Cricetulus griseus: one gene and its partner. The protein of the gene in region 1 purifies or fractionates together with the protein of each later gene. This does not show direct contact. Links are inferred from orthologs where the notes say so. Each region holds a gene or a part of one and is shown in the gene's direction. Other genes may lie near its edges.

The links.
Region 2: the proteins of Slc30a2 (region 1) and Mettl9 purify together in Homo sapiens (co-immunoprecipitation; 3 studies listed by BioGRID and IntAct, with this or other methods). This does not show direct contact. The link is inferred for Cricetulus griseus from reciprocal best matches to the Homo sapiens genes SLC30A2 and METTL9.

The regions. Positions count from the first base shown.
Region 1 is NC_048595.1:18,949,531-18,964,421, reverse strand, and holds the start of Slc30a2 (zinc transporter 2), read left to right. Parts: upstream 1-8,538; coding exon 8,539-8,588; intron 8,589-9,229; coding exon 9,230-9,438; intron 9,439-10,771; coding exon 10,772-10,918; intron 10,919-12,095; coding exon 12,096-12,249; intron 12,250-12,909; coding exon 12,910-13,120; intron 13,121-13,754; coding exon 13,755-13,860; intron 13,861-14,891. Other genes in the region: E3 ubiquitin-protein ligase TRIM63, read left to right, coding at 7,238-7,335.
Region 2 is NC_048596.1:79,617,198-79,632,165, reverse strand, and holds the start of Mettl9 (methyltransferase-like protein 9), read left to right. Parts: upstream 1-6,684; 5' UTR 6,685-6,824; coding exon 6,825-6,989; intron 6,990-14,968. UniProt on the Homo sapiens protein: Protein-histidine N-methyltransferase that specifically catalyzes 1-methylhistidine (pros-methylhistidine) methylation of target proteins.

The DNA.
Region 1 (14,891 bases):
GAACTCTGGAGTCACAGGTGCTACCACGGCCATCCGCCTTTCTTTGGGTGGATGCTGGGGATCTGAACTTGGGACCTACCCACCAAACCAGTTCCCAGCTACTGTTATGTCCTCCTCCACCAACTCCTCCTTTTTCTTAATGGCTGGCCTCTTAGAGCTGGGATTAAGGGCTTGTCCCCCTACACCTGGTTAGTGCTCAAGCCTAGTTACCGGAGCCAAATTCCTCCAGCTAAAGTAGCTAATTCGGAAGAATCTAAGGCAGTGGTTCTCAGCCTGTGGATCGTGACCCCTTTGGGTGAAGAGGGTTATCAAACGACCCTTTCACAGGGGTTGCCTAAAACCACCGGAAGATGCAGATATTTACGTTATGATTCATAACAGCAGCAAAATTACAGTTATGAAATACTTTTATGGTTGGTGGTCTCCACAACATGGGGGTCACAACATGAGGGTCACAGCATTAGGAAGGTTGAGAACCACTGCTCTGAGCCATTGAATTCTGACAGCTAAATTCTAGTTTGGCTCTAAAAAAGGAGCCCAGGCTGGAGGTGATATTATTTGTCACCACAGCTCTGGACTGGGTCCTCTTGAGTCTGTGTCTCACCATGAGCCTGTGTCTGACTTTCTCTTCCAGGACACCAATGAGGAGCTCGAGGAATAGACACCCTCTGGATGCAGAGACTGGGGAGGCTGGTGATAGGCCCATCTAGGGAGGGGGTTGGGGTTCGGGACTCCTTTGGGGGGGCACAATGGGGAAGTGTGTCTTCTCTCTGCTCAGAGAGCAGGGACTAGAGTAGAACCCCCCCCCCACTGCTGTGTCCAGCAGCTGCTCAAATAGGATTGGAAACATACTCCATACTTAAACGTCACAGGACACTTTTCTACGTTGGTGCAAAGCAAAATATTTTGTATGTTTTTAAAATGTGATTTTTGTATATACCTGTATATGTATGTCAATTTGGTGCTTTTTGTATGAAAACTTTTGTATGATCATGCCTGGTCATTTTGTGACTGGTGATTGTCACAAAGAGGGAAGGAAGTCAAGCTAACAGAGCTGCCCACTTCCCTTCCTTGGTGGGATGGCTGGGTCTCACTCAAAGGCCTGGAAAGGGACAATGTACTGTATTTCAGTGCCCATCCCCAAACAAGGGGAGAGGACTGAGTTTGTGTTATATGTTGTTTTATTAATAAATGCACAACAGGCTGGGCCTGGGGGCAAATGCCCTTTAATCCCAGCACTGCAGAGGCAGTTGTATCTGAGTTCAAGGCCAGCCTGGTCTACATGGAGAGTTCCAGACCAGCCAGGACTACACAGAGAGACTCTGTCTCAAAAATAATAATGAAAAAGAATAAAAAATAAATGCACAGTGTTTTTTTCCATGTAACCAGAAAAGAGGTGTAATTTCATTTAGCTTGAGAGAGAGAAAGAGAGAGAGAGAGAGAGAGAGAGAGAGAGAGAGAGAGAGAGTGTGTGTGTGTTGCTAGCAATGGAATTGAGAACCATGGAAATACTAGATAAAAACTCCACCCTGATCTGCAGGAGGCCCCAGCCCTCCTTTAGCCTGTTTCTGTTTGTTTTTAGGAGAAAATAATTCAGCTTCAGGCAGGTTTTTGTTTGTTTGTTTGTCTGTTTTTTGAGACAGGGCTTCTCTGTGTAGCTTTGGAGTCTATCCTGGCACTCGCTCTGGAGACCAGGTTGGCCTCGAACTCACAGAGATCCGCCTGCCTCTGCCTCCCGAGTGCAGGGATTAAAGGTGTGAGCCACCACTGCCCGGCTTTACAGCTGGATTTTATGGAGGCATTTCCTCAATTGAGGTTCTTTCATTAACTCTAGTTTGTGTCAAGTTAACACACAAAGCCAGTACACCTTGGAAACTTTTTGTGCCAATGCCAGCTTATATCTTCACTCTGCATGGGTCATGACCCTGTCATTTTTACTGTCACACACATGGTTTGCTTTCTTTTTTTTTTTTTTTTTTTTTTTTTTTTAGATTTTTTTATTTATTTATTATGTATACAACATTCTGCTTCCATGTATATCTGCACACCAGAAGAGGACACCAGATCTTATAATGGATGGTTGTGAGCCACCATGTGGTTGCTGGGAATTGAACTCAGGACCTCTGGAAGAACAGTCGGTACTCTTAACCTCTGAGCCATCTCTCCAGCCCCATGGTTTGCTTTCTTAAGTCTTTTCTCTTTGGGGGTGAGGAGTGGGGGAGACATCACAGTGTCTTCAACCTAATTAAGAAAAACAGTTTGGGGGCTAGGAAGGTGGCTCAGACTCACTCCCTGCTGTTGCATGGGACCTGGCTTTGGGTCACAGCACCTACATGGTGACTAACAGCTGTCTCTAACTCCAACTCCAGGGATCTGACACCCTTGTCTGTCTCCAAGGCCACATATATGCATGCAGGCAGAACACACCTACATACCAAACAAAAATAACCAAACTTTGGGGCTGGAGAGATGGCTCAGAGGTTAAGAGCACTGGACTGCTCTTCCTAGAGGTCCTGAGTTCAATTCCCAGCAACCCCATGGTGGCTCACATCCATCCATTATGAGATCTGGTGCCCTCTTCTGGTGTGCAGGCAAATATGCAGACAGAACACTGCATATATGTAATAAAAATAAGTAAATAAAAATTTAAAAAATAACCAAATTTTTAATAAAGGAAAGAAAAGTATCTTTACAACTGAGGCCTTTTATTTTATTTTCATCTCTCAGGCCATGACTTCACAGGGAATGGACGCCTGTTTGCTCTTATAACGCACTCTGTGGGCTGGCACTTCAGTGGGACCCAGGGACCTTTCTGTTTGGTTTGTTTTCCTTTCCCTGTTTCAGAAAGTCATTTCAGATCATACTCAGTAGACACATTCATTCTCCCAGGATCTGGCCCCCAACTTGCTTATTCACAAGCAAGGGACACTAGGTAGCACTAGGGACAGTGTCGACTCTGCTGGCTTTGCCATGGTGACATTTATGGGGTGTTCCTCTTTGACCCATACATGTTTGATGTCTGCAGTGTAACTTTTCTTGTAAAGTCTTGCACTTGTCATTTAGAAGCTCAGTGAGCGCTGTTAGGGCCTCCCTTGTTTCTCACTGGGAGATATATATTTTTGAAGATTTTATTTATTTATTATGCATACAGTCTTCTGCCTGCTGGCCAGCAGAGGGCACCAGATCTCATTCAAGATGGCTGTGAGCCTCCATGAGGTTGCCAGGAATTGAACTCAGGACCTTTGGAAGAAGAATCAGTGCTCTTAACCGCTGGGCCGTTTCTCCAGCCCCTCACTGGGAGATATTTTGTCTGAAAAGAAAACAAAAGGGAAGGACAGGACAGCTCCTGGGTATGGTGGAGGAGAAAGCTGATTGTAGATAAAAGGGAGAGCAGAGCCAGAGGCAGGGACATCTGGGAGAGTCCAGTGTGGACACGACTGTCTGAGCTGGGCCGTGTGAGGAAGAATGGGGAAGGGTGAGGGGAGACAGGAACCAGGAGCAGCAGCAGCAGGCCAGAGGTCCAAAATAGGGCTGGTAACCAAAATGTCTGGATTATACAGGGAAAAGCCTCTGAGGGAAGGAAGGGTGGAAAGTTCAGGGTAGGAGATGGGGTATGGGAGCTGTATCCTGGGAGAATGTGGCAGCCAGGTCTGTTTTGATAAGTTAAATAGACACCTCAGCCATCTGTCCTGGGTCTGAAACTTAACATTGTCAAATTACTGGAAGATGGCAACTCTGGCCAAAAGCACTTAACTTTCTTACTTTTTTACATTTTATTCACGTGTTTTTGTGGGGGGGGGGGGAGAGGAAACCCATGCCTCAGCACACATGTGGAGGCCAGAGGAAAACTTACAAGGAATCTGTTGTCTCCTTCGACCATGTGGGTACCAGGGATGGAACTCAGGCCATCAGGTTTGGGGACTCAGCTTTATCTGACGAGTCTGCTTTACCGTCCTATTTTCAAGTATTCTCCTGCAGAAGACTTTAAAGGTTTTCAAGGCCAGAAAGAGAGAGGCGGGGCATAGTGACCTTTGATCCCAGCACTGAAGTCACTGGGGCAGGTGGATTGAGAGTTCAAGCCAGCCTGGGATACACAGGGAGATAAATAATTAGACAATGAAGACAGACGCACCCACCGCCTGGAAATCACATCACACAACTGGCTCACAATATGTTTTCTCATCACCACTCCAACTTCCTGACTAGAGAGCAGGCATTATAGTCCCTAATCTTGCCAACCTGATGAGGCTAGTTTTATTGGGTTTACTTACAGGAATGTGGGTGAAAGGTTACTTCCAGGTGCAGAAATGACTGACAGCTGCATCGCTAAAATCCTTCTTCGGCATGGGGACAGGTCAACAACGTTGGAAGCCTGGAACACACAGCACGGCATTCCGTCCTTCCGAGGCAGTTGAGTCGGGTGAGCTTCTTTCTGGCAGGTCAGCTGATCACTTTTAGGCAGATCTCTTATTTAAGAGCCCTCGCTACTTATATATGCTTGTGGAAGGAGGGAACTGAAGTCCTCTCCCTGGCCCCCACCAGACAGGGTTTCTTTGTGTCACCCTGGATGTCCTAGCACTCACTCTGTAGACCAGGCTGGCCTTGAACTCACAGAGATCCCCCTGCCTCTGCCTCCCTTGTGCTGGGATTAAAGGTGTGGGAAAGCAGTAAGTTCTTTTAACCATTGACTCCTTTGACTCTCCAGCACCCTTGTTGAAGTTTTAAATGCAATTTTTTGTTAGGTGATCATGTGTGTGAGCTTGCACCTGCACACGCAAGTGCACATGCATGAGTGTGTGTTTTGGAATTGAACCCAGGGCCCGAGGAATGCTAGCCAATCGCTCTGTCACTGAGCTACATCCTCAGCACAAACTCTCGCAAATCAATTAAAATTGTTTCTGAGCTGGGCGTTGGTGGCTCACACCTTTAATGCCAGCACTTGGGAGGCAGAGGCAGGCAGATGTCTGAGTTCCAGGCCAGCCTGGTCTACAAAGCTAAACAGAAACCCTGTCTCGAAAAACAAAAACAAAAAAATCCTTTCGGAGGATACAGGGAAAGGCCTACTTCAAATGGGATTTCTCCAGATAAACTCTTCGAACACTAGATGTACACACCAGGCAAGAAATTAATTTTGCAGTGGATCACAGCAGGTTGTCCACAAATGCAATTCAATCTACTTGTAGTTCTTGGTCTTCAGGACAATCCTCTTTCTCTTTTGATAACATGCACAAGCTCCAGGCTTTATCTTCTCACCGCTTCCCTTTTTGGGCACCATAGAGTTGCTAAGAACCCAGGGAAATGCTAACTTAACACTTATGAATTCATCTCAAAGGATATAGATAAGGGGCAGAGGGCGGGGCTTATAGGGAGTGGTGGGGATACTCTATGCCCTCTCCAGGCACAGCAGTTTCCAGGAACCTTTCTGTGTTTGGCTTTAGGAAGCTTCTGGAACTCTGTCCTTTTGTATTTTTTGTATTGGAGATGTCCTCCAATACAAACACAATTAAATCAGAACCCTGAGGATTTGATTGGATGAAAAGAGTGAGACCTGAAGTTATCAGCTGGGTGGGGACATCCAGCAAAGCCTGTCTGTGCACTTTTCTCATCCCAGATACCAGGCAGGGCCCCTCTGGTTGGTGAGGCCAGAGATTTTTTTTTTTTTTGACACCAGATTTTGATTTTGATTTTGTTTTGTTTTTAATATTTTATAAATAGTTCTTACTTATTTTCTATGAAATGTACTGGGAACTCAAAAAGTCTGCTAAACCCACCAACATGAGTTTCCACAGAGAATTCTTTTATGATCAGCTCCTAGATAGAAGGCAGGAAAGATCAGAATTTCTGTGGCTTCAGGTGAGAGGGCAAGGTAGGAGGCTCAGTAGCCCAAGGTCACCCTCAGCAAATTCAAGATCAACCTGGGCTGCCTTGATTTACTCTTTTTGCTTGTTTTTCAAGACAGGGTTTCTGTGTAGGTTTGGAGGTTGTCCTGGAACTCTTTTTGAAGACCAGGCTGGCCTTGAACTCACAGAGATCTGCCTGCCTCTGCCTCCCGAGTGCTGGGCATGAGCCACCACCACCCGGCCAAACTGTCTATGATCTACCCTAAGAGAGATTCTAGTTTCTTCTGCCTTCCTTAGGAAGGGATAGGTTGGGTGGGTATGGGGCATTAGACTGCAATCCCTCCCACCACTCAGGATGCTGAAACAGAGTCACAAGTTCCAAGCCAGGCTGGGTTATAGGCATCATCAGAAATATGGATTTAAAACAAATCTTCTGAGTTGGGCAGTGGTGGCGCATGCCTTTAATCCCAGCACTCAGGAGGCAGAGGCAGGTGAATCTCTGTGAGTTTGAGGCTAGTCGGGTCTACAGAGTGAGTTCCAGGCTGTTATACAGGGAAAGCCTGTCTCAAAAAACCAAAATCAAAACATTGATAATTATGATATGCTTTGAATTGAGGAGAAAATGAGTGACGTGATAGACTGTCACAATTTTTCCACCTTACAACTCCACAGTGATCTGTGGTTGTCCTATAGAAACGCCACCAAACAGCACTTAATCCATGCTTATAGGACCAGGGCTTGAAGTAGGACTTTGTGCATAGTGGGAGACTCCTCTACCACTTAGCTCACACCTCTGCTCTTTTTTACTTTGAGACAGGGTCCAGTAAATTGCCCAGCTAGCCTCAAACTTGGGACCCTTCTGCCCAAGGCTCCTTAATTCCTGTGATTACAGGCATGTGTAACCATGTCGGGCTGTCCTATTTGTTTCAGCCTAATTTCAAAGATGTTTAAGTGCTCACCTAGGTTCTCCGTGCTAAGCTGGGGAGACCACTGGAGATCGTAGAAGAAAAGAGTCTCACTTCCAGATCAGCTAAATTACAGGCCCATACATTATGCCCAGAAATACTTGTTCCGTTACCCAATCCTCTGAGATTTGGTGTGGGTTTATTGTTGTGTGACAGGGCCTACAAGTCTGAAGTACCCCAGGATAGCCTTGAACTTGCTATATAGACAAAGATAACCTTGAACTTGTGATAGCGGTGCCCTTCCATCTCTCTCTGCAGAGGTGGAATCACCAGCTTGTGTGGTGCTATGGATGGAACTCAGGCTTCATGCATGTAAGTCAAGCTCAGCCCTAGTCCATCCTGCTCAGTCCTGCTCCCCTTGCCATGAGGCAAAGTCTCTCATGCTAGCCTGGGCTACATAGTATGACCACCGTTCTTCCTTCTCTTCCCTAGTGGGCACTGGGGATAGGATCCAAGGCTTTGTGCATGAACAGTCTATCAACAAGCTGCACCCCAAATATACCTTCCAAGCTGTGGTCCTGAAGACCTAGCACATGAAGTGATTGAGTAGGGAGGTCGCCAACTATATAAGGAGATACCTATCAGAGGCCAGCACCGGGGGCGCCATAGGCCCCAAACCCCAGAAAATGTGGACTATGGACTTTATGTGGGGCATCAGTTTGGCCCTACGGCCATCTCCCAGAAATTTGTTGGGTTTCTGGGGTGCGGTTAATGAGACAGGACACTGCTCTTTGTAGAGGTGGAGAGCCGGCCACTCGGATCCCTTTTTTTTTTTTTTTTTTTGGTTTTTTCGAGACAGGGTTTCTCTGTGGCTTTGGAGGCTGTCCTGGAACTAGCTCTTGTAGACCAGGCTGGTCTCGAACTCACAGAGAAACGCCTGCCTTTGCCTCTGGAGTGCTGGGATTAAAGGCGTGCGCCACCACCGCCCCGCCCGGATCCTAATCAGAGAGCAAGGAGGAGGAATGGTGCCTTTCAAAGGGAAACTTGGATCTGTAACTCCAGCAGTACTATGATGGGGTACTGCCCCCTCCCCAGAGGCCGAGTGCACCCCAGCCCGCCCGAGTGTCACTCCCTACAAAAGAAAATGATCAAGCTTCCGGGAAGTCTCTCTTCCTAGCTAGAAGCCCGACCCTAACCTCAGGAGTCCCTTTGGTTCTGTCAGTAGTCACATCCCTGCCCTAAGGCACCTCTATCTCTGTCTCTGTCTCTGTCTCTGTGTCTGTCTGTCTGTCTCTCTCTACATAACAGGTTTTCTCTACGTAACAAAGCTCTAGCTGTCCTGGAATTTACTATGCAGACAAGGCTGGTCTCGAACTCGCTTGCCTCTGCCTCCTCTCCGGAGTGCTGGGATTAAAGGGTGAGATGCCCGTTAAGAGTGGATGTTCTGGTCACCCAGTCCTAATTTAGCAACTTTGGGCAGCTCTTAGCAGGCTCTTTGCTCCGGGCAAAGGCCCTTAAGCTCTCGGTGTGAGGCCGCGGGCTGCTTCAGGCTCCGGGCGGCGGGGGAGCAGTGCTGGGGGCCGAGCCGCGGTTCCCTTTGCAGCCGGCCACCCTTCCCCCTCCCCGCGGGCTTTTGCACACGACGCGCGGCGGGCGGCTTCACACGGGGCGAGGGCCGGGGATAAAGCGGGCGGGCGCGGGGCGCAGAGGCGAGACCGAGCAGAGGAAGGTGAGAGCGCGCCGAGCTGACATCGTCTGGAGCGCAACTTCGAGGACGCACGGCGAGAGGCGGCATGCCGTCCTTGGACAAGCGGAACCTGTTGGAGAGCAGGAGCGGGGCGCGGTAAATTCAAGCCCCGAGGGGCGGGAATCTGGGCGACATCACAGGCACCTCCTCTTTGGCCATTCTGGCTGTGGTTGGTCCGGCCGGGGGCTTGAACCTGGGATCCCGCCAGAGGGATGGGGTGAGGCAAGGGAAAGAGGAAATTGGCTGTGGCCTCGTAGCCCCGGGGATCACCTGTCTCAGCTGGCCAAGCACACAGATCCTGAACGCTGCCTGCGGGTGCGCTCCAGTGGGACACAGTCGGGTGCCTGTTACCCCGCCTTCACTCCAGCACTTTGATCCCAAGCAGCCCTGAGGTGGGGAGGCCCTGTGCCCTCGGGTGCGCTGCGCTACGTTGCATGCTGCTGTCTTGAGCCAGAACTCTGCTCTTTGTCTGCGCTCGACTGGACGGCCTGCCCTTTGGCTAGTTCGTAAAGACTCTCCAGGCCTGGGAAGGGGTGGAGGAGGGGGGGACGGCTTAGAACAAGGTCCCAAGACTCACTTCCCCAGCATCCCCTGTAACATTGGCTTCTTACCTTGATCACCTGCCAGGCTCGGTGCTTAACTTGCTTTGGAAACACCGGACCAGCAATACTCCCAGAGACTGGCTCTGTGCTCCCACCTCCAAACGCTGAGCGTTTTCTCTCCTTCCCCACCTCCAGGTCATTCTTAGGATCACATTGGAAGAGTGAGGCTGCTTGGACCCCTCCTGTGGACCTGCCCGCTGTTGAGCTGGCTGTCCAGAGCAACCATTATTGCCATGCCCAGAAGGATTCCTGTAGTCACCCTGACTCCAAGAGGCAGAAGGCCCGGCGCAAACTCTATCTGGCCTCTGCCATCTGCCTGATGTTCATGATCGGAGAAATCATCGGTAAGGCCTTGTGTGTGAATTAAATAAAGTTGGTTCTTGCATGGGCTGAATGCTCTCATTAATGCTACTGACACTAATCCCTGTTTTATTGATTAGTTTTTCTTTCTTTCTTTTTCTATTTTTCTTTTCTTTTTTTTTCTTTTTCTTTTTTTTTTTTTTTTTTTTTTTTTTTTTTTTTTTTTTTTTTTGGTTTTTCGAGACAGGGTTTCTCTGTGTAGCTTTGGAGCCTATCCTGGCACTCACGCTCTAGAGACCAGGCTGGCCTCGAACTCACAGAGATCTGCCTGCCTCTGCCTCCCAAGTGCTGGGATTAAAGGCGTGCACCACCAAAGGCCGGCCTCTTTCTTTTTTTTAAGGCAGGGTCTCACTAGCCTTGGCTAGCCTGGAACTCTGCTTCCAGAGTGATGGAATTAAAGGTGTGTGACACCACATCCATTAATTTTTATTTGTTTATTGGCTTTTCGAGACTGGGTTTCTCTGCATATCTATGGCTGTTCTAACTCCTGCTGTAGATCTGCCTGCCTCTGCTTCCCAAGTGCTGGGATTAAAGGCGTGTACCACCATCACTGGGCTAATTTTTTTTAAATCAATCAGTTGGTTACAGCTCTGCAGTTAAGAGCACTGGCTGCTCCTCCGGAGGACTTAGGCTTGATTCCCAGCACCTACATGGTGGCTCACAATCATCTGTCACTCTGGTCCCAGGGAATCGGCTGTCCTCTTGTGGCTTGTGTGGGTACCAGGCATATGATGCACACCCATATGTGTAGGTAAAACACACTTAAATTAATAATGAAAATAATATAAGAGTACTTACTGAGCTCCTACTTTGCTTCCCTAGCTCTAATTGAACTTGATCTTCTTTACTTTTTTTTACAAACTCCTTTTTGAATTACAAACAAGATTGAATTACATGACAATCCCAGTTCCCTTTTCCCTCCCTTTCTCCCCTACAACCCCTCCAACTAAAACCCTACCTATCGCATATCCTTTAGAATTTTTTGTTGCTCCCCCCTGCCCAGAAAGGGTTTCTTTGTATTGCTTTGTAGGCTCTCCTGAAACTTGCTCTGGAGACCAGGGTGGCCTTGAACTCACAGAGATCCACCTGCCTCTGCCTCCCGAGTGCTAGGATTAAAGGCGTGCACCACTACTGCCTGAACTTGATTTTTGCACTCACCCTGTAAGAAAATGTCAACTCTTTAGCTCAAATTGAACAACTGATTGGTGCAGAGACCTTGAGCCCACTGTGTCTTCCCTTGTGGTCTCCCTGCTGTGCAGAGTTGGGGGGCGGTTAACTCTTTCAGGGGGAACTTCACCCTGGCTGTCACTTTTGCAGGTGGGTACCTGGCACACAGCCTGGCCATTATGACTGACGCAGCTCACCTGCTCACCGATTTTGCCAGCATGCTCATTAGCCTCTTCTCCCTGTGGATGTCTTCCCGACCGGCCACCAAGACCATGAATTTCGGCTGGCAACGAGCTGGTAAGGATCCTTGTGGCCACAGATGGGGTAATCAAGAGATAGATAGGGTTTTAGCATTTCTAGTAGTCTAGGCTGGCCTTGAATGTACTAAGAAGTAACCAAGGCTGCCCTTGAAATTCCTGATCCTCTTGTCTCCACCTCCCAAGCCCTGGAATTTCAGGTATGCCACACACAGCTAGTTTGGGGGGATTTTTGTTTTTGTTTTTGTTTTGTTATTTATTTATTTTACAGGATCTTGATACATAGTCCAGACTGGCCTCTAACTCACTGTAATAGCCCAGTCTGGCTTCAAACTCAGTAACTCTCCTGTCACAGCCTCCCAAGGACTGAAATTAAGGCCAGGAGTTAGGCCAAAAAGGCAGCTTCTATGGAAAAGGGAGTGTCTGCCTTGGCCTCCATCCTCTGGGAACTCCCAATCTGATGGGACAGACTTGGTGCCAGTTATCTGGGAGCTACTTGTTAATGGAGAAGCAAAGTTCATGTTAGAAAGTAGGGGCTCAGAACAAAGGACAACAGCACTAACATTGCCTGTCACTATGGGTCAGCTATGGGTAGGGAAAGGTCAGTAAACAGTCCCTTAAGCTGTTAGTTCCCTTCCTGGTGGCACTGCCACTTTCCCGTAGGGAGAGATGGCTCAGCAGTTAGCACGTGTCTTCTTGGCTGTAACTAGCTCCAGCTCTGGGGAATTTGGGCCCTCTTCTGTTACCTTCATTAATTAGGTAGTGACCTTACCTTTATTTGGGCAGGAAAATTAGGCATATATATGCCCTTCATCCCAACACAAGGGTGGTGGAGGCAGGTGAATCTCGAGTTCAAGGCTAGCCTGATTTACATAGTGAGACCACAAGAAACATAAAAAGGAGAGTATTAAACTCAGGCAGTCCTCTTGTCTTAGCAGCCCACATTCTAGGATTAGAGATGTCCACCACCATGCTGGTTAGAATATACACACATACATACATACATACCAGTTTCTTTCCACATACAGCAAACAGGATTGAGCTGGATGGTTCTAGATAGGAGTTCTCATATATGAGTTGGCAGGAAGAGGCATGTCTTCAGCAAACACCAAAAACATACTGACTTTTCTGCAGGGAGGGGCTAACATGGAGGGAGTAGGCCTTCCTACCCTTAGGGCCCAGGCTAATGTTCTTTTGGTTGGGCTCTTCTTATCTAGAGATCCTTGGAGCCTTGGTGTCTGTACTGTCCATCTGGGTGGTGACTGGGGTGCTGGTGTACCTGGCTGTGCAGCGCTTGATTTCTGGAGACTATGAGATCAAAGGGGATACCATGTTGATCACGTCGGGCTGCGCGGTGGCTGTAAACATCATGTAAGTATGGCCCGGTTCCCTATAAGTGACCCCCACTCCCAGGGAACGGAGTTCATGCCTCCCTTCCCGCACTGAATCTCACTCACGGCCTGAACTCTGGCACATGGTATACATTGGTCCTGCTTTAAATGGGACATGGGAGGTTATAGACCCCCACCCCACCCCACCATCTCAACTCTCCTCCCCTCTCATAGTACATGTCCAGGAGAATAACTTCTGAGGCTATCCACAGCAAAGGGATGCATCTGGTTCATGCTGGACCAAAGGCCAAGTCAGGTTGACATGGCTGAAACTGGTCCCAGTAAAAGAGAGGGGGCTGGTTAGAAAGAACATATGTTTGGGCCTTCTGTCTCCTCCGCTGGCTTGTCTCAGGTTCCCCTCCTGTGACATGATGGGATGAACCAGATGACTTCCTCATTGCCCCCTTGCTCTGAAATTCAACTCTGGGATTTTGTGCCCAGTCAGCCTTCCATTGTGGGCAGAACTCTTTGCCCTATGGCTATAAGCCAAGGCTGCAGACTAGATTCTTGATCCTAAGAGGATCGCTGTGTGCTGGGGGCTTCAGAATTTTACCTTCAGGGAGGCCAGCCCTAATGGGTAGACTGTGCCTAGCTGACATGAAACCTTTGCTACCTCATTGAACTCTGTCTGTTTCCATAGAATGGGGTTGACCCTTCATCAATCTGGACATGGGCACAGCCATGGACAGGGGCAAAGCCATGGACATGAACACAGCCATGGTGACCAAAGCCATGAAGACAGCCAACAGCAACAGGAGAACCCCAGTGTCCGAGCAGCCTTCATCCATGTGATTGGGGACCTTCTGCAGAGTTTGGGTGTCCTGGTAGCTGCCTACATTATATATTTCAAGGTCAGATCTGGGTACAAAGAGGGAGGTGGGGCAGTACCCAGGGCTTCTCTGCACAGGGCTTTGTCCCCATGCTAGGCCCCCTCCAGCTTAGGATGAGAGGGTAGAAAGAGGGAAGGGATGTTTATTTAATACTTTCCAAGTGTTGTTGGCACCTTTTACTTCTACAAGAAGCCTGAAAGGTAGGTGATTGTGCTATATGCCATTCAGAAAGGTTCTGTTACTTGTACAGTTTCACAGAAGCCGGATTTAAACCCATGACTGTGTTGCTGAAGCCGGGCATTGCCTATCACATAGAGATAATGAGTTGTAAAATGAGCCATGAGTGTGGCTGAGGCTGTGTGATGAATGGATTACTTGGTCCCATCGAACCTCAGTTTCCCCATCTATAAAATGGGAATGGTGAATCAAATGCCCACAGTCCTTTTTAGTTTCGCCTGTGTCTCATCTTTTTAGGAAGAGATGTGTCCTGAGGTCATCTGGATGGAGAATAGAGTAGAAAATTGGAAAAGACAGGCCAGAGCAAGTCCCGTGCTCACCCTGAAAAGAGAGACCCTTCCTGATACTGTACTGGTAGGGAAAAATATAGACCCAAGTGGATGCTGGTGAGCCCCATGTCTGTCTGTTTTTCCTGCAGCCTGAGTATAAGTACGTGGATCCCATCTGCACTTTCCTCTTCTCCGTGCTGGTCCTGGGGACAACGTTAACCATCCTAAGAGATGTGACCTTGGTTCTCATGGAAGGTAACTAGGCCTTCGGGCTTATGGATGGGGGTGGGGTGTGTGCAGATGTCTGTGTTCATTTGTTGTGTGGAAACCCGAGGTTGATAGTGGAGTGTCTCCTTCACCCTAAGTTTTCCTTTTTGGGGGGTGGTTTCGAGTCAGGGTTTCTCTGTGTAACAGCTCTGACTGTCTTGGAACTAGCCCTGTAGACCAGGCTGTCTCTAACTCTCCCCAGTGCTGGGATTAAAGGGGTGCATAAATAAATGTATGCCTGCATGGCAGAATAGGGCCTCATTATAGACAGTTGTGAGCCACCACATGGTTGTGGGAATTGAACTCAGGACCTTTGAAGAGCAGTCAGTGCTCTTAACCTCTGAGTCATCTCTCCAGGTCCACCCCCACCCCCACCCCACCTCACCCTGCCCGCCCCCCAAGGTTTGTCTGTGTAGCCCTGGCTGTCCTGAAACTCAGCTCTGTAGACCAGGCTGGCCTTGAACTCAGAGAGATTCCACCTGCCTCTGCTGTCATTAAAGACATGTGCTACCACTACCCAGCTAGCCCTTCTTGTTTTTTGTAATAAGTAAGATCTCTTACTGAACTTAGAGCTGTAGGCTGGCCAGAAAGCTACCTGAGTCTCCTTGTCCTCCACCTCCCACCCAACTCTAGGGTTACTGGCGAGGACAAGTGGCCTTTTTTTTTGTTTTTGTTTTTCTCATGGTTGCTGGAAACCTGAACTCATTTAACCCACTGAGCCCTCTCCCCAGATCTGGGACTCTCTAATTAGACTAAGCTGGCTGGCCAACCAGTCCCAAGGCATCTGCCCATCTCTGCCTTTCCTGTCTGGGATTACAAGTGTGCACTAACGTGTGTGCATGGGTACATGCGTGTTTAGTTCTGGGGTATCTAACAGGCCTCTAGCACCGTTAGCAGCTGAAGTATCTCCCCAGCCTGACTTTGGGGTTCTCTCTCAGCCTGAGGCTCACCAAGTCTAATCTACCTTGGTGCAGATGTTTGGAGAACCACTGCATTAGGGTGCGAGCCCGTGTCTGGGA
Region 2 (14,968 bases), on another chromosome or scaffold:
CTGAGTGATATGGAAGTTAAATTGAAATAGTAAATCTCCTGAAGTTTCTATGGTTCTCATTTGACACAAGTTGTATCACCATCAGAATGAATTTATTTGTGACCCATCAAATTGAAGCCCTTCATATCATGGAGAAGCCATCTTTATAAGGGTAACTTGGGTAGCACAATATACATATAGTAGAACACAGCATTTTACTGATCCATTTGGCATGACCTGAAATTTACCTGAGTATTGTTGATAAATATCTTAGTGGACTCTTCTTGTAGGTGGCTAAGTTGAAAGTGATGGCAGCATATCCCTGGGACTGCTGAAAGGCCTTGTCCAAGTATAGGGGGGTTGATTTCAGATGCTTCAATAAAAGTCATCATTTGATTGCTGATTGACTGTAGGACATGGTGCTAACCTTTATAGTTTTCTTCAAAATTCTATGCCTATGATTGCTCACATTCTAAAAGGTTCTGAGAACTCCCCCTCCATTTCTGTTTCTGTAGTCATTCAGGGTGCACCTAAAGCACAGCAGGAACTTGGGCAACTTGGTAGCTGAGAGGATGTCAAAAGGAAGGGCACAAAACCACACTTCCTTAGCGTGGCTTGTCCTGAAGAGCCCTGCTTCCTACTCCCAGTTAGACTGTGTTTTTGTTCCTAAGGCTTTCCAACAATATACAATTCAATTTTAGTACTCAGCATTTTGTAATTACCCACTCATTTCATGGTTGCCAGTTGGGTCCACCTCCACACTATACATAAAGCTTGAGGGATGTGAATTGCTATGCTTGTTTCGAGTTCTAGCTTTCTAGTGCAGGGCCTGGCATGCTGGTGTGCTCAGCAAATATTACTGAGCATGTGCAAGTTTCCTTTTTTTCTTGTCCTTCTACTAACATTGCTGGCATAAACTGAGATAGGTATGAGATTGTCATTTTGGGGAAGGGGCTATGTCAGTTCAGAATGTTCTTCAAATAGGTGAAGCATCATGCCTGCTATAGAGGCAAAAAGATGAGCCAGGTGGGAAAAGTTATATAAATCAGAGAGGCAGGAGACTTTCTTTTTCTTTTTCTTTCCTACTTTCCCTCCCTCCCTCCCTCCTTTCCTTCCTTCTTTCCTTTCTTCCTTTCTCCTTTCCTTTCTTCCCCTGCTTTTTTTTTTCTGAGACAGGTTTTCTCTGTAGCTTTGGAGGCTGTTTGGAACTTGCTCAGTAGACCAGGCTGGCCTCAAACTCACAGAGATCTGCCCACCTCTGCCTCCCCAGTGCTGGGATTAAAGGCGCGCACCACCACTGCCCGGCCTAAGGCAGGAGACTTTCTTACTAAAGAGACAAGCATCTCTGAGAAGTGGATAACTTGATTTTGATGTCTGAATTTGTGATTTTGTTTGAACATTTCCTGGTTTTGAATTTTGTATTCCTTATCCTCTGCTCACATCTTCATTCCCTGAGGATAAAATCTCATGAGATTAGACATTACAACATTTTTCTCATTGTTCTGACAAAATACATCAGGGATCATTTCTATAGTTCGTTACTAGAAACTGTGTAAGGGAGGGAAGGTTTATTTTGAGTCATGGTTTCAGTCCATCATGGCAGAAAAGGCATGTGGTATAAGCATGAGGCAATGATTGGTTGTTCACATTGTGGCTGACTAGGAAGCAGAGAGCTAGGCATAAATTAGGGCTGGGCTCTAACCTTAAGAGGAGCTAGCCAAGTCCCATCTCAGAGGTTTCATAGTCATCATTATCCAACCAACCTGTAGTGGCATCTTGCTTTACCAGTGAACTTGCAGTCATGGCCACATCCTATGGGTGTGGCTTCAGGTGTGCAGATATAACCCCTTATAAGGAAGAGGAGGGGCTGGCTTGCTCTTTTGGGTTGTGGTGAGAGCATTGGAAGGGCAGAGACTGCATCTTCTGGAGCAGGAAGACCAAGGTGGTTATTTACTATTATTTGGGTAAGTGCCATCCTAATACCTGTTTATCATTTATCTTGGGTCGGGTGAACTCATTTAAACCTATCTTCACCAACCCCTACCATTAATAGTATCATCAAGCGGAGGACAAGCATTGAAAACACTATCACAACTTCGAGAACATTCCAGACACTGTAGTTAAAAGAAATGATCATTCTGGGTTTTAAGAAAATATTTTCTGGAGAGACATGAATCATGTTAGGATAAGCATAATTATGAGGGTGTTGTTTTATAGTTGATAGTGATTTCAAATTATCTAGTTATCAAAAATTATAAAATTGTTCAGCTGGGTGTAAAGAAAGGGCTGCTGAGAAAAGGTTGGTTCATCCAAGTTAAAGAGAATAGAGTGAGTGCTTGCTAGGGGTTGAAGTACTACAATAAGCCTTTTATTTGGAAGAGACAGACATGGAGAGGTCGTGATTTGCCTTAGATTACACAAGCTAGACTTCCATACCACGCGGTGTCTCGGGTGCGGTTGCTAAGGTGGTACAACTCCCAGGTGAGCAGTCCTGGGAGGGTCTCCAGTGAAGTATACTGCATGATTTGTGTTTGCTACCATAGGTCTTCAGGTCTTTAGACTGCTATTTTGTTTTAAATTAAATTTTGTGTGTATAGGTGTTTTGTCTGCATGCATGTGTAGTACTCTGTATCTGCCTGGTGCTGGCTGAGGTCAGAAGATGGTGTCAGATTCCCTGGAAATGGAGTTACAGATGTTTGTGAGCCACCATGTGGGTGCTGGGAATCAAACCCATGTCTTCTGGAAGAGCTGCAAATGCTTTTAACCACTGAGCCCAGACAGTTTTGTTTAAAACAAAACAGAAACACAAAAAAACCCTGTTTTTAGTCTCACCTTAAGTTTGAATTTATCTGAGATCAGAATGATTCCACTGCAAATGACTGAAGTTTCTAGAAAAAAATAACCTTTCACACTTACTACTTCTAATAAAAAAGGTTGAATACCATGTTAGTCATTGTCCCATTCTTGTGACAAGAGAATTAAGGAAGTTAATAGAGGAAAAGGTTTATTTTAATCCATGGACACTTAGCTTGTTGTTTTGTGGTAAGTGCACAATGATAGGGAGTATGGAGAGCAAAATTGCTAACCTAATGAGAGCCAGGGAGAGAGGTTGGAGAGGGGGAGAAAAAGGGAGAGAGAGAAAGGGAAGAGTGAGTGAGGGAGGGAGGAAGAGAGAAAGAGAAGAAAAGGAGAGACATGCACACACACATACAAACACTCACATACAAGCATATACTACTGGCCTAACTTCCTTCCAGGACCCATTTCTAAAAGGTTCTACTGCCTCCCAGTAGCACCACAGGCTGGTGAAGGACACTTTAGCACGTGGACTTTAGGGAGATATTTAAGATCTGAACCATAAGCCGGGTGGTGGTAGCACATGACTCTAATTCTAGCACTTGGGAAGCAGATACAGGTAGATTTCAGAGTTTGAGGCCAGCCTGGTCTACAGTGTGAGTTCCAGGACAGCCAGGGTTACATAGAGAAACCCTGTCTTAACAACAAGATTTTGGGCCAAACATACCTTTCCCTGAAGGTGTACCAAATATTATTAAGAAGCTTAAAAACAGCCGGGCATTGGTGGCGTATGCCTTTAATCCCAGAACTCGTGAGGCAGAGGCAGGCAGATCTCTGTGAGTTTGAAGCCAGGCTGGTCTACAGATCGAGTTCCAGGACAACCTCCAAAGCAATACAGAGAAACCCTGTCTCAAAAAAACAAAACAAAACAAAACAAAACAAAAAAAACCAACCGCTTAAAAAACATTTGTCAATGGGCTGGAGAGATGCCTTTGTAGGTAAAGTGACTTCTGCACAAGATGAGGACCTGAATTCAGATTCCCAACATTGATAGTATGGTAGTGAATGTGTGTATATAAACCTACTCTGTGTGTGTGGGGGGGGGCGAGGATGGGGGATGAATTAGGCAGATCGCTGGAGCTGGCTGGACAGCCTGATATATCTAATTCATGTGTGCTGGGTTCAATGACAGACCTTGTCTCAAAAAAAAAAAAAAAAAAAAAAAAAAAAAAAGGTGGAGAGTGATAGCAGAGGTCACCTGAAGTCAACTTCAGGCTTCCACATGCACACACATATATCTGCACACACAAAAATCTGACAAAACAAAACATTCAATTACAAGGGTCTTTTTACATCATTAGCTCCTCATAGAGGCTACAGTGGTTCTATGTAAATCCAAGTCTCTTTCTCTCTGTGGTATTTCTTCACATTGTACTTTGAAATTGAAAAGCAAATGTGAAGCTAGGATCACAGCACCTGCTTGTGATCCCTTTGTTTGTGAGGCATAAGTAGGATGATTGTGAGTTCAAGGCCAGCTTAGCCTATATAACAAGAACTGATAAAAAGGAGAGGAGGGCTAGAGGGAGAAGGGGAAAGGGTCGGGGAGGTAAGGGAAGAGTTGGGGGAAGGGACTATTGTTTAAGAAACAAGCCCCTTGCCTGGATATTTGGAACGTAATCCAGCCACAGTTTCTGGTGATAGAACAGAAACCCAGGCTAGACACTTGAGGTGAGCAAGCACAAGATAGCAGGTATGTGACTTTTGAATATCACTGATTACATTTCAAAGCCACATTGGAAAGGATATTGGATCATAATTTGTTTTTTGCTTTTGTATTAACCATGTCTCTTCCTATTCCCATTATGAATATCTGAGGTTTTAATGTACAGCAGTGACATCCTAGTAAGGGGCCGTCCCAGAAGGCAATCTGAACTTCTGCTTAGAATATTTACTCTTGCAGCTTTCCTTCCTCATGATTTGTAATTCGAGAGGCTGAGAAGAGAGACGGCAAGGCTTCTTGGATGGATAAAACAACCAGAAGCTGGGATACCACCTTCTATGAGAAGGTTTGCTACCAAATTTTTAAAATTATGCTGTGCTTTGCTTTCTCCCTGTGCTTCCTAAATGTAAATAACACCTACATGAGCAGTCTGTGACTATAGAATAGTTTGAATGTGAGGGTAATTCATTTTTTTCTAGGTGAGCTGCTCAGACATAAAGCAAAATTTCTCTTAGCTAGGTTTCTCTTAGCTGTCATATGACCCTAAATTCTTCAGATCTTATTAGATGTATCCTTGCTTCTTCTTTACATGACACATTTTGAGGTCTTAGAGCTGTGGTTAGGCAAGCTCAATCTGTTAGGGCATGGTTTTCTGTATCATTTGTCTTTAGAAATGAAGTATGCCTTGTTTATACACTCCTGTTGCTTGCATCTCCCCTTTACCTAAAAAAGATGAACACTGTTTTGGTATAGAAGAACTTTATTGGAATTCAAAGAGGTGGTGCAATACAATTATTTGCACTCACTACTGTAGTTCCTTTTAAGTATGCTGAACTCGGGACTCCTAGAAGGTTGAGCTCAATTTAGGAAAGCATAATCTTATGGTTTTACACTTAACAGGGAGATGTCTGGGAATAAACTAGAATGAGAAATTACAACAAAGTATACCTCATATTTATCCTTGAATTTTTGTTGTTGTTGTCGTAGTCTATGCACATTTGGTAATGAAATACCCTTATTAAGGAAAGGTGACAAGTAGAACTTCTTTAGCACCTAACATGTTTGTGGGTAAGAAATGGTTTCTTTCTCATCTGTGGATCACTATTTCATAAATGAAAACGTCTTCAGTGTATCATGAAATTAACGAAAAGAAGAATTTGTTTTAAGCTAAAATTAATGCACAGAATCTCTGGCACTGTCTAATGAAAATCATGTTTCAACAAACCTAGGAAGGTGTGAGTAGCAGACCTAGGAAATAATGTCACTCTCCTAGTTGAGTAGCAGCAGGAAGTTGAGACACAGGAACTTCTCAGTTTGGAAACATTGTTAGGTTTCTTCCGGCAATAAATGATCAAGGAAACATCCGGCTAACTCCTCCCAGACCTGAGCTCGCTTTAAGAGTGACAGGTCCAGCTTCTGTTAGCCCAAGGAAATCTGACAGGGGCTAACTTGTGGCTTTCGGTGTTGAACATGGTGTTATTTTCCATTATGTTTCGTTGGGTGCTCCAGCAGCATCAACTTGCAACAATGACAGAGCTTTTATACTCACCAGGGCTTCACGAAAGGAAACGTGTGACAGCAGCTCCCCAGTTTGGGAATGCTGGGGCCGGGAGCAGCGGCGGGATTCTTTCCCTCTAGATTCTCTGTGCTTTAACAGTTGTGAATTCCCATCTGGGGCCGGTGGCTTTTGGAACCGGGAGTCAGGCTCTCCGGCCCCAGATGGAAATTATTAACAGTCAAGACCTTAACAAGAAGGGCAACGCTAGTCTATCCGATGGACCTGGGTCTAGGAGTGTCTGAGTTCCCTTTTTCCTGGAGTCAATCTGAACGATTAGGTCAAATTCCCGCCAGGGTGTGGTCGAGGGGCCTACCGGCAACTACTACGGCAAGGGAAGACCGGAAGTCCTGCAGGCCCCACCTCGGAGTGGCGAGACTCTAGAAGTCTCCCCAGATATTCCGCCATTATGCACCCAGGCGGCCGCCACGGGGAACGTGCGGAAAGGGAGTCTTTCTCCCGCCTCCCCGGCCGGGCCGCCTCCGTTCATTGGGTAGGGAGAACGCCCCTCCTGCATTTGTACGTGCTCCGGGTGGAAACCGGAGCTGGAGGCGTTGGCGTTCCGGACCGGGAAGGGCCGCGGGGGACTGGAGAAGGCCGCGCGCCCGCCGCTCCTCCCACCCCCCGCCTCGGCCCCGAAGGGGGCTGCACGGGCGACTTGGCGGCGATGGCTCGAGCTCGGGCGGCGACGGCGGTGGCTGGAGGCGGCGGCTCCTCCTCCTCCTCCTGGGCCTGGGCCCGGCGGTGATCCGAGCTGGCGGCCGCGGCCCCCCGATGAGACTGTTGGCGGGCTGGCTGTGCCTGAGCCTGGCGTCCGTGTGGCTGGCGCGGAGGATGTGGACGCTGCGGAGCCCGCTCTCCCGCTCCCTGTACGTGAACATGACGAGCGGCCCCGGCGGGCCAGCGGCGTCCGCGGGCGGCGGGAAGGACACGCACCAGGTACTGGGCCGCAGCCCTGCGGAGCGGGGGCGTGGCGCTCGGCCTTCCCGCGCTCGGCTGGGCCATTGTGCGGGGCGGCGCGCGCGGGCCTCGACCCCGGCCTCTCTCAAACTTTTCCCGGCCCGGGCGCTGGCTCCACGGAGCCTTTTGTTCAGCGTCGCGGGCAGGGGACCGCCTCCGCTGCCCGGCTCCCCAGGCCCAGCATGGGCGCCCCGGAACCCTGCATTGTTCCCAGGCTCCCGGCAGCGTCCGCGCCCGGCCTCAGAATCCGAGTAACTTCGGGGTGGGCCACCCAGCTGGCACCGGGGCCCGAGCAGAGAACAGCCCCCACCATCTCCCGGGCCAGCCTTCCTCTCTCCCGAGGAACAAAACCGAAAGCCGGTCCCTCTTTTTGTCTAGCCGAATCTCTGAACATACAAAGGGTTATAAAGCAATTAACTGGCCTCATGAACCATTCGGCTGACATTTTGCCCTAAGTGCTTAAAAAAAAAAAATGTGTTTGACAGGTCTGGGCTCCCAGCCTAGGAACCCTCTTCCTCTATGCCTATGAGACGTGTCCTTTAAACTTGGGTTTAGTTAGCTGATCAGAAAGGTTGGGATGAGGAGGAGGATGCAGGTTTTAAAGGGAAGAGGTATTTAAAGTCAGAACTGTGCAGCTGTGAATTCTTGTTGTAGTTGATGGGTTTTGAGTCATGGGATTCTACCGGTTGGATGGTCTTTTCATGAGCTGTTTGTACCACTTAAGAAGGATGCGTGGATCAGCTGTGGAATTAAAGAGGGTGGTATTTCAGATTTGACCGTAAGTAGTTTGCGGGTAACCTTGCAGTCACTGAAAAGAGGCCTTTGAATTTAGACAAACTTTGGGCTTCTAAAAGCCAGAGTTTAGTACATATTGATTTTTATAGAGCGAAGTAAGGAATTATTCCTCGTGTCATTTTGGACCTTACCTTTTCATGTATAAAAGTAATATTAAGTTTTTATTTCCTAATTATTGGGATGCATTTTTTTTTTATGATGTTAGTATGGAACTCAGATCCCGGAAACTATTCCACTGTTGGTCGATAATCAGACTCCTTTTTCTCTTTTGGAAGAATCGTAGATTTATGTTAAAAAAAAAAAATCCCTAGTGATTGTGGTGTTTTAGATGACCACTCGTGGTATTGTTAAGAGTATGTAAACTTAGTATACAATCTTAATTATCGCCATGGGCTATTTTATGCTGGCTCAGTGTCATAGAAGTACTACACTGTTAATTGTACAGGCAACAGAATGCCTCTTGTCCGTGTGGAACAAGGAATTGGAAATGACATTTTTAGCAAGGAGTAGGTAGAAAAAAAAAAGATTATTCTCTTTGATGAAAAATTATGGCTCAGTCTCCCAATTGTTGGTAACACTTGTGATTACTGCAGTGACTTGATTTATGTGCTCATAAAAAAGGTGCTTATGGGAGCTAAGTAGTTAAGAGATTGTGTTGTTCAGTTCCCAGCACCCAAGTCAGACACAACTCTGTAACTCCAGCAGGATTGGGTACCTCTGGATCCAACTGGATTGGACACACACACACACACACACACACACACACACACACACACACACACACACACACAATCTAAAATTTTTTTCAAATATTGTACTTATTTTAAAAACTAAAATTGGTTTCTGTAGAGCTCAGGAAGAGTGATAGCAGTGGACACTGTCTCCATGTTTCCAGTTGAGAGCATTTTCTGATTGCATACGTTCATTTATTTTTGTGGTGCCAAGGATCAAACCCAGGATAGGCAACCACTGAGTCACATCCATAGTCCTTGTGTATTTATGTATTTAACTTTGAGCCAGGGCCTTGTAGCTCTGGCTGTCCTAGTACTCCTATGTAATCCAGGCTGGCTTTGAACTCAAGGCTGTCTTTCTGCCTCAGCTCCAGAATGCTAGAATTACAGGTGTTCAGCATCATGTCCGGCTTGCCCTTTGGGTTTTGTTTGTTTTGTTTTGTGTGCCACCCCTACCTGGCCATCCTTAGTGCTTTGAGGGAGGGTCTGCCAGTTTAGGATGAACTGAAAGTTCAGGGTGTCTTCAGAGTCACAACCCTCCTACCTTGGCCTCTTGGGTACTGGGATTATTGTAAGTGTGCACCACTAAACCCTGCCAGACGCTATTTTTGAGGTGAATGCATTTGTGTTATAAAAAGAAATGTCAAGATGAAATGACCAGGAGGAAAGTGTGTGTGCCCAGAAGCCACCATGAGCTGACAAGAGTGAGAGGCTGGCCTTTCTGTATCCTTGCAGACTGCATGGTTCCTTTCTTTTATATTCCAGAATCCTGGTTTGCTGCATAGGTTTGTTGCTTGTGAAGTAACTTTAATGGTTTCCCCCCTTCAAATTAATAGTTTTATAGAGGCTTTCTGGTGTTCATTTGGGTGTGTGGGTTCCATGACCAGCCACATCTGGTTCTTTTGGAGTTGCTTGAAAGAAGAGTTACAGGCTAAACCATACTTAGCACAGGTTTTCTTGGTGGTGTTTTATGAATGATTTATGGTGCAGACTTCTTTGGTTAAAAGAGAGATCTGGAGTAAAGTTTACTCATTAAAAAATGCAGTTTAGTTGTTAGAGCCTGAAGATGCAAGGCTCTGTTGGGCTTAGCTTGAAAACTAAGTGGCTTGTTTCAGTGTACTAGCTTCAGAACTGGATTATGTTTTACTTTGGCAAGAAGCAAGGGATTTCTGAAGAAGGGACATGATAAGCAGGCCAAACTGGTCTCATTGACTTGGGTAGCCTGTGAAATAAGAATAGTCTCGTGTTTTTAAATGGTTATCAATACTATTGTAACATGAGAATTTCTCATATGAAATTCAAATGGTAGAGTCTTCAAATTAAGTTTTATTGAAACAAAGCCACCACATTGGTTCAGCTATGAACTAGGGTGTGTCAGGGTGAAGAAGTAATATTTCTCTGGCCTATTAAAAGTATATATCTTTAAAAGTCTGTTTCCCTCCTCAGTTGTCCACCTTCGTTAATCAACAGTATGGTATTCTCAATCCCAGGATGGAAGGATGGACCCTCTGAAGGAGAAATAGAGAGTAGCAAGAACTAGATGTCAGTCATCATTGTCAGTACACTCAGAACACAGAACGAAAACAACAAAAACCTTTGAATGTAGTCTTTTTGGTGCATCCTACCTGGTGCTTAGAGTTAAAGAACTATTACGGAGCTATTGAAACTTGAAAGGCTCCTCAAGGCACTTGTAACTAGATCCTTGGTAATAACAGTCATCCACAGCCTCTCAATTGATGAATTGAAAGGTTGTTATGAAACTTGTTGGTTCCAAACTATGGCGGTTTCTTCAGGTGAAAAACTTCTGTTTGCTTTTCACATATAACATTTAATGTCTGGAATTAGAGGTCACTTAAAATTATAAGTTTCATATAAACCTGGTACTTATTATTATTTTTACCTTCTTATATAAGCTCAGAACTGCTGTGCCAGCCTCTACAACAGAGGCAGGATAGCATTGGAATATATATTTACAAATGAAAAAGTACTTGAATGTTACAGCCACGGTCAGATGTGCTAAAGGAGAGATTAGTTTCCTGTCTCTATTTTTCAGTTACCTTTTGGAGGTTGGCAGAGGTCAGGCATGAGTTCCATGCTTCAGGGTGCCAGCCAGGTAGCCGGGAGACTGTGGTGAATTGGTGTCTCTGTTCTGCCTTCCAGTGTGGAAGCCTTTGCTGTCGAATACTAAGGACTCCAGAGAAGGTTTCTTTCCTGTTTGCACCCTGTGCTAAAGCCCTTAAACAAGTGCTTGCCTCAGTTTCATGGACCATCAAGATCACTTCCTTCCCTGAATATGCCAAGGGTCATTATGTTCCCCTTCAAAAGTGCCCTAGAGGACCCCATAATCTCTGCTAAAAAGTCTGTTGTTTGGATCATCAGAAGTTTTGTTAAAATTTTAGGATTATAAAACACTAGTCTCGAGAGAGTATTTGGAATGAGGACATTTATTAAGTCAAGGCTAAAGCAACTTAATCTAATCTGTATAAATGGCTCTCCACTATGAATATGAGGACACCTTTCATTGTGTGCATTGAAATTGTTACCAGAATCTAAGGTTTATGCTGCTGGATGCCCTATAGAAAACCTGCAGATAGGACAAGTTTTGGCCAGTACTGAGGAGAGAGAAATTCTTGTTAGACTTGGCCTTGCCAAGTGCTATAATTTATGGAATAGATGTACCAGAAAACCAGCAGATATGCATGTGTATATTTAATTATGGGCCTAAATTACCAGAATTGGGTGCTAAGTCTTTTTCCTGTAGGGTTCATGGGCCAGCGCTATTGGGGGTAGCTTTTTTCACTCATTGTTGATATATCTTGGAGGAATCCTAATTCCTAGAACCCCATTACATATCTCAAGTAAAGAGATACTGACTTGTTACAAATTTCTAGCAAAATGGTGAGCGATTTATGGATTTACTCCAGAGCTGGCTTTTATTTGAGACTGATTGCATTGCATTGTAGAATCTGGGAATGGAATTTCTGAGTCCTTAACGATTGTAGTTCATGGCCTTTTTCTGATCACCTTTCTAATTGGAAAGACTGTTTATTCATTAAATTCAAGGGACCCATTTATTTTGCAAATGATTTGTGTGTCCAGACCGGTAGTGTGGCCTTTCCTTGAACTACCCCCCACCCCTCCAGCCAGCCTTTTCCTTCTGACATAAGAACATTTAATAGGCTTTCATTTTGTACCTAGCACCTTTAAGTGAGTTATGCTTTATAATCCTTATGACAGCTCTTCTTCATAGGCAGCACCACTCCCACTTGACAGATTCAAGAGACTTGGGAGAGATCAGAGTCAGTTGTTGGGTAGAGTTGGGTTTTGAATCCAGCTTTGCCTCAGTAAAAGGCCCAAGTGTTTCCCATACTTCATATAGCTCCTTTTAGGAAACCATGTATTCTCTGAAGGCTGTGTGAAAATGGGCTTGCCTTCTTAATAGGAAACTGCATGGACCCGAGTGGGCCTTTGTGAAGGCACTATGGTTGAAGATTTTGTGGTTTATGAGTTAGACAGTGGTAGAACTGCTCAGTTTGACATGCTTTGGAAAAACTTCCAGGTCTCCAGGTTGCCATTACCTTTCCTCACCTTGGCTGTATGTTCAGAGGTTCCTGCAACCCCATCCCCTAGGTTTTATAATTTGCTGTAATGATTCCCGGATTTAGGCTTAATGGATCGAATCATTGGCCATAGATGGCCAGCTTCAGTCTAGTGTTTTTTCTGTTCTTGGGGATGTAGGATAGGGTCAAAAGTTCCAGCTGTCTAGTCATAACTTTTCCTCCTTCCAGTTTTGGGAAATCCTCTTATTTATGAACAAAACATAATTCTTTTTAATTTTTTAAAGACTTACTATTTTTATTCTATGTGTATGAGTGTCTTGCCTGCATGCATGTCTGGGTACTATGTGCATGCCTAGTTCCCAAGGAGACCAAAAGAGATTATTAGATCCCCTGTAGCTATTACAGAATGTTGTCAACCACCTTGTGGGTTCTGGGAATTAAGCCTTGTTTCTCTGGAAGAGCAAGCAGTAGGTCTCTCCAGTCACCAAAAGACATTCTCCTCCCCCAACCCCAGGGTTTCTCTGTGGCTTTGGAGGCTGTCATGGAACTAGCTTTTGTAGAGCAGGTTGGTCTCAAACTCACAGAGATCCGCCTGCCTCTGCCTCCCAAGTGCTGGGATTAAAGGCGTGGGCACCACTGCCCAGCACCAAAAAACATCCTTATCACCATGAAGATTTCTCAGATATTTTAGGAGTTCTGTACTAGGAATATGGGGGAAAGAGTGAATATTTATTTTTATTATGTCACACTATATAGAGTCAGTAAGCTGTGTTTTATAATTTTCAAGTTCTATTGGTATGCTAAATTCTGTTGTCTTTTGAAAGAAAAGACTATTCATTGTAAAGCATGTGTTTTTTGTGAAAATTCCAAAAAGTAATTTTAGAGAAACTTTAAACCGTGTCCCTGAGCCTTGACAATCAGATGTGGTTTCATAGAAAGATTGTATTTCTTTCACTCTAAAAGTGACTCATCAACCAAGGTTATACAAATATTAAGAAACGTTCACGTGCTGAATGAAGTTTTTATTTTGTGTGTGTGTGTGAGTGTATGTGTATGGTCAGGTGCATAGTTGTGGAGGCTAGAGGAGGACATTGGGTATATTCCTCTATCACTCTCTGCCTTATTCTCTTGAAACAGGTGGGGCTCTCATAGAACCTCAAGCTCATGGTTTTGGCTAGGCTGCCTGGCTTTTTATGTATTTCAACTCAGGGCCTCATGTTGGTACAGCAATTACTGAGCCATCTCCCCAGCTCATGAAGAAGTTTGAAAGACAGTAAGACATCATGTCTCATTATTTGATTTAGTAACATTGTTAGAAACACCACCATGCTATTGTCACCCACCCAATTTGGCTCTTTATTGTTTGTCTAGTTATTATTGTCCATGCAGTCCTGTGCAAGTAATGAAAATATTGTTAGTATAGCTTTGCAAAGGTATTTAGTTAACATAGCCTACTGTGCTTGGCATCAGTGGGTTGGTAGGATTTCAAAGTTTACTTGATTAATAAGCTCACAGACCATTTAATAAGTGTAGTATTTTCTTGCCCACTGCACCTTTGTCTCTGTAGCCTTTGAGGAGCATGCATTCAAAGAACTTTACCTGCTGGAAAGTGCCCATGAGTCTTTAGGCAGCTACCCAGTGCTGTGAGCTCTATAGAGCTCTCATTTAAGCCTGGTTGTTTGGAGAGCAGTGACTGCAGGGGACCACCATCTGTGTGCAGTAGCTTCTCACTAATTGTTTCTTGTTGGCTTCTGAGCAAGGTTTGCTTATCGAGGGCTTTGTTGGTTGGAACCCAGATCATAATCTCATTGTTTCTTGTTTGTTTTGGTTTCAGATTTTATTTTCCCTCCTAGGATTCAAGTTTCCAAGACCAATGAGTCCCTCCTGTAATTGAGTAGCCATCTTAGATCACAGTTAAGCCAAGGTAGTTAGGAAACACTACTGGCTAAATCCAGTTCTCATATAGGTTCTCAAGAAGTGGCAGTTGCTCCTTGGAGGGCATTTTGTGCATTGGGGTGGTGCTACTCCCATCTGATATGTAAAGGTAGTCTGTAACAAAGGGTTCCCAAGCCGAAGTGTCGGTACCAAGATTGAGAAACGCTGGCCCATAGGAATATACTGTCCAGACTGGATTGTTTTTTCTTCAGACTTGTCCAGACCAGCTTCATTGGCGAATAGCCCTGTTTATTTTCAAGCAGTACTGGATAGAGTGAAGCAAGAACTCTTTTTAAAAATGCACTTGGCATACAGTCACAGGAATAGGATCTAGAAGCAGCTGAAAGCACTCTGGGACTCTAGACTTCCTTCTGTTCAAAAGATAGGAAGTTTAACACACATGAAGTAGCTCATGCCTGTAATTCAGAGCTTGGAAGGCTGAGGCAGGACTGTTGCTTTTAGTCTGAGCTACATAGTAAGCTCCAGTCAACCCCTGCTACAGTGTAAGGCACTGTTCAAAAAACAAAACAAAAATTATGTGGTGTAATTGCAACATAAAGATTTGCCAGGTGTCTGGCACCCATGGGTGCTCACTGTCTCTTCCATGTGTGCTTGTGTGTGATAATGCAGTTTTGTGGTAGGTCAGTAAGTAGATAATTCTTAACCATTGTTTGCAAAGTTAGGGTTAAGTAAGGCTTGTAGAAACCCTGGAGTTTGAGCAACTGACAACCCAATGACAGGATGTCTCTGTGGTTATCCTTGTTTCCTTTACAAGTTTGTTAAAGATGCCAGATTCTGCCTATGTAGACTTCCTGTGAGTCTTAGCAGAGCAATTGTTTTAAGAGCCAGAGGCAAATAAATCATTTGTCTCTGTCTACCTAATTCTGAAGTCAGCTGTTGTCCCAGTCTTTATGAATCTTTTGGTCTGTGAGGATAG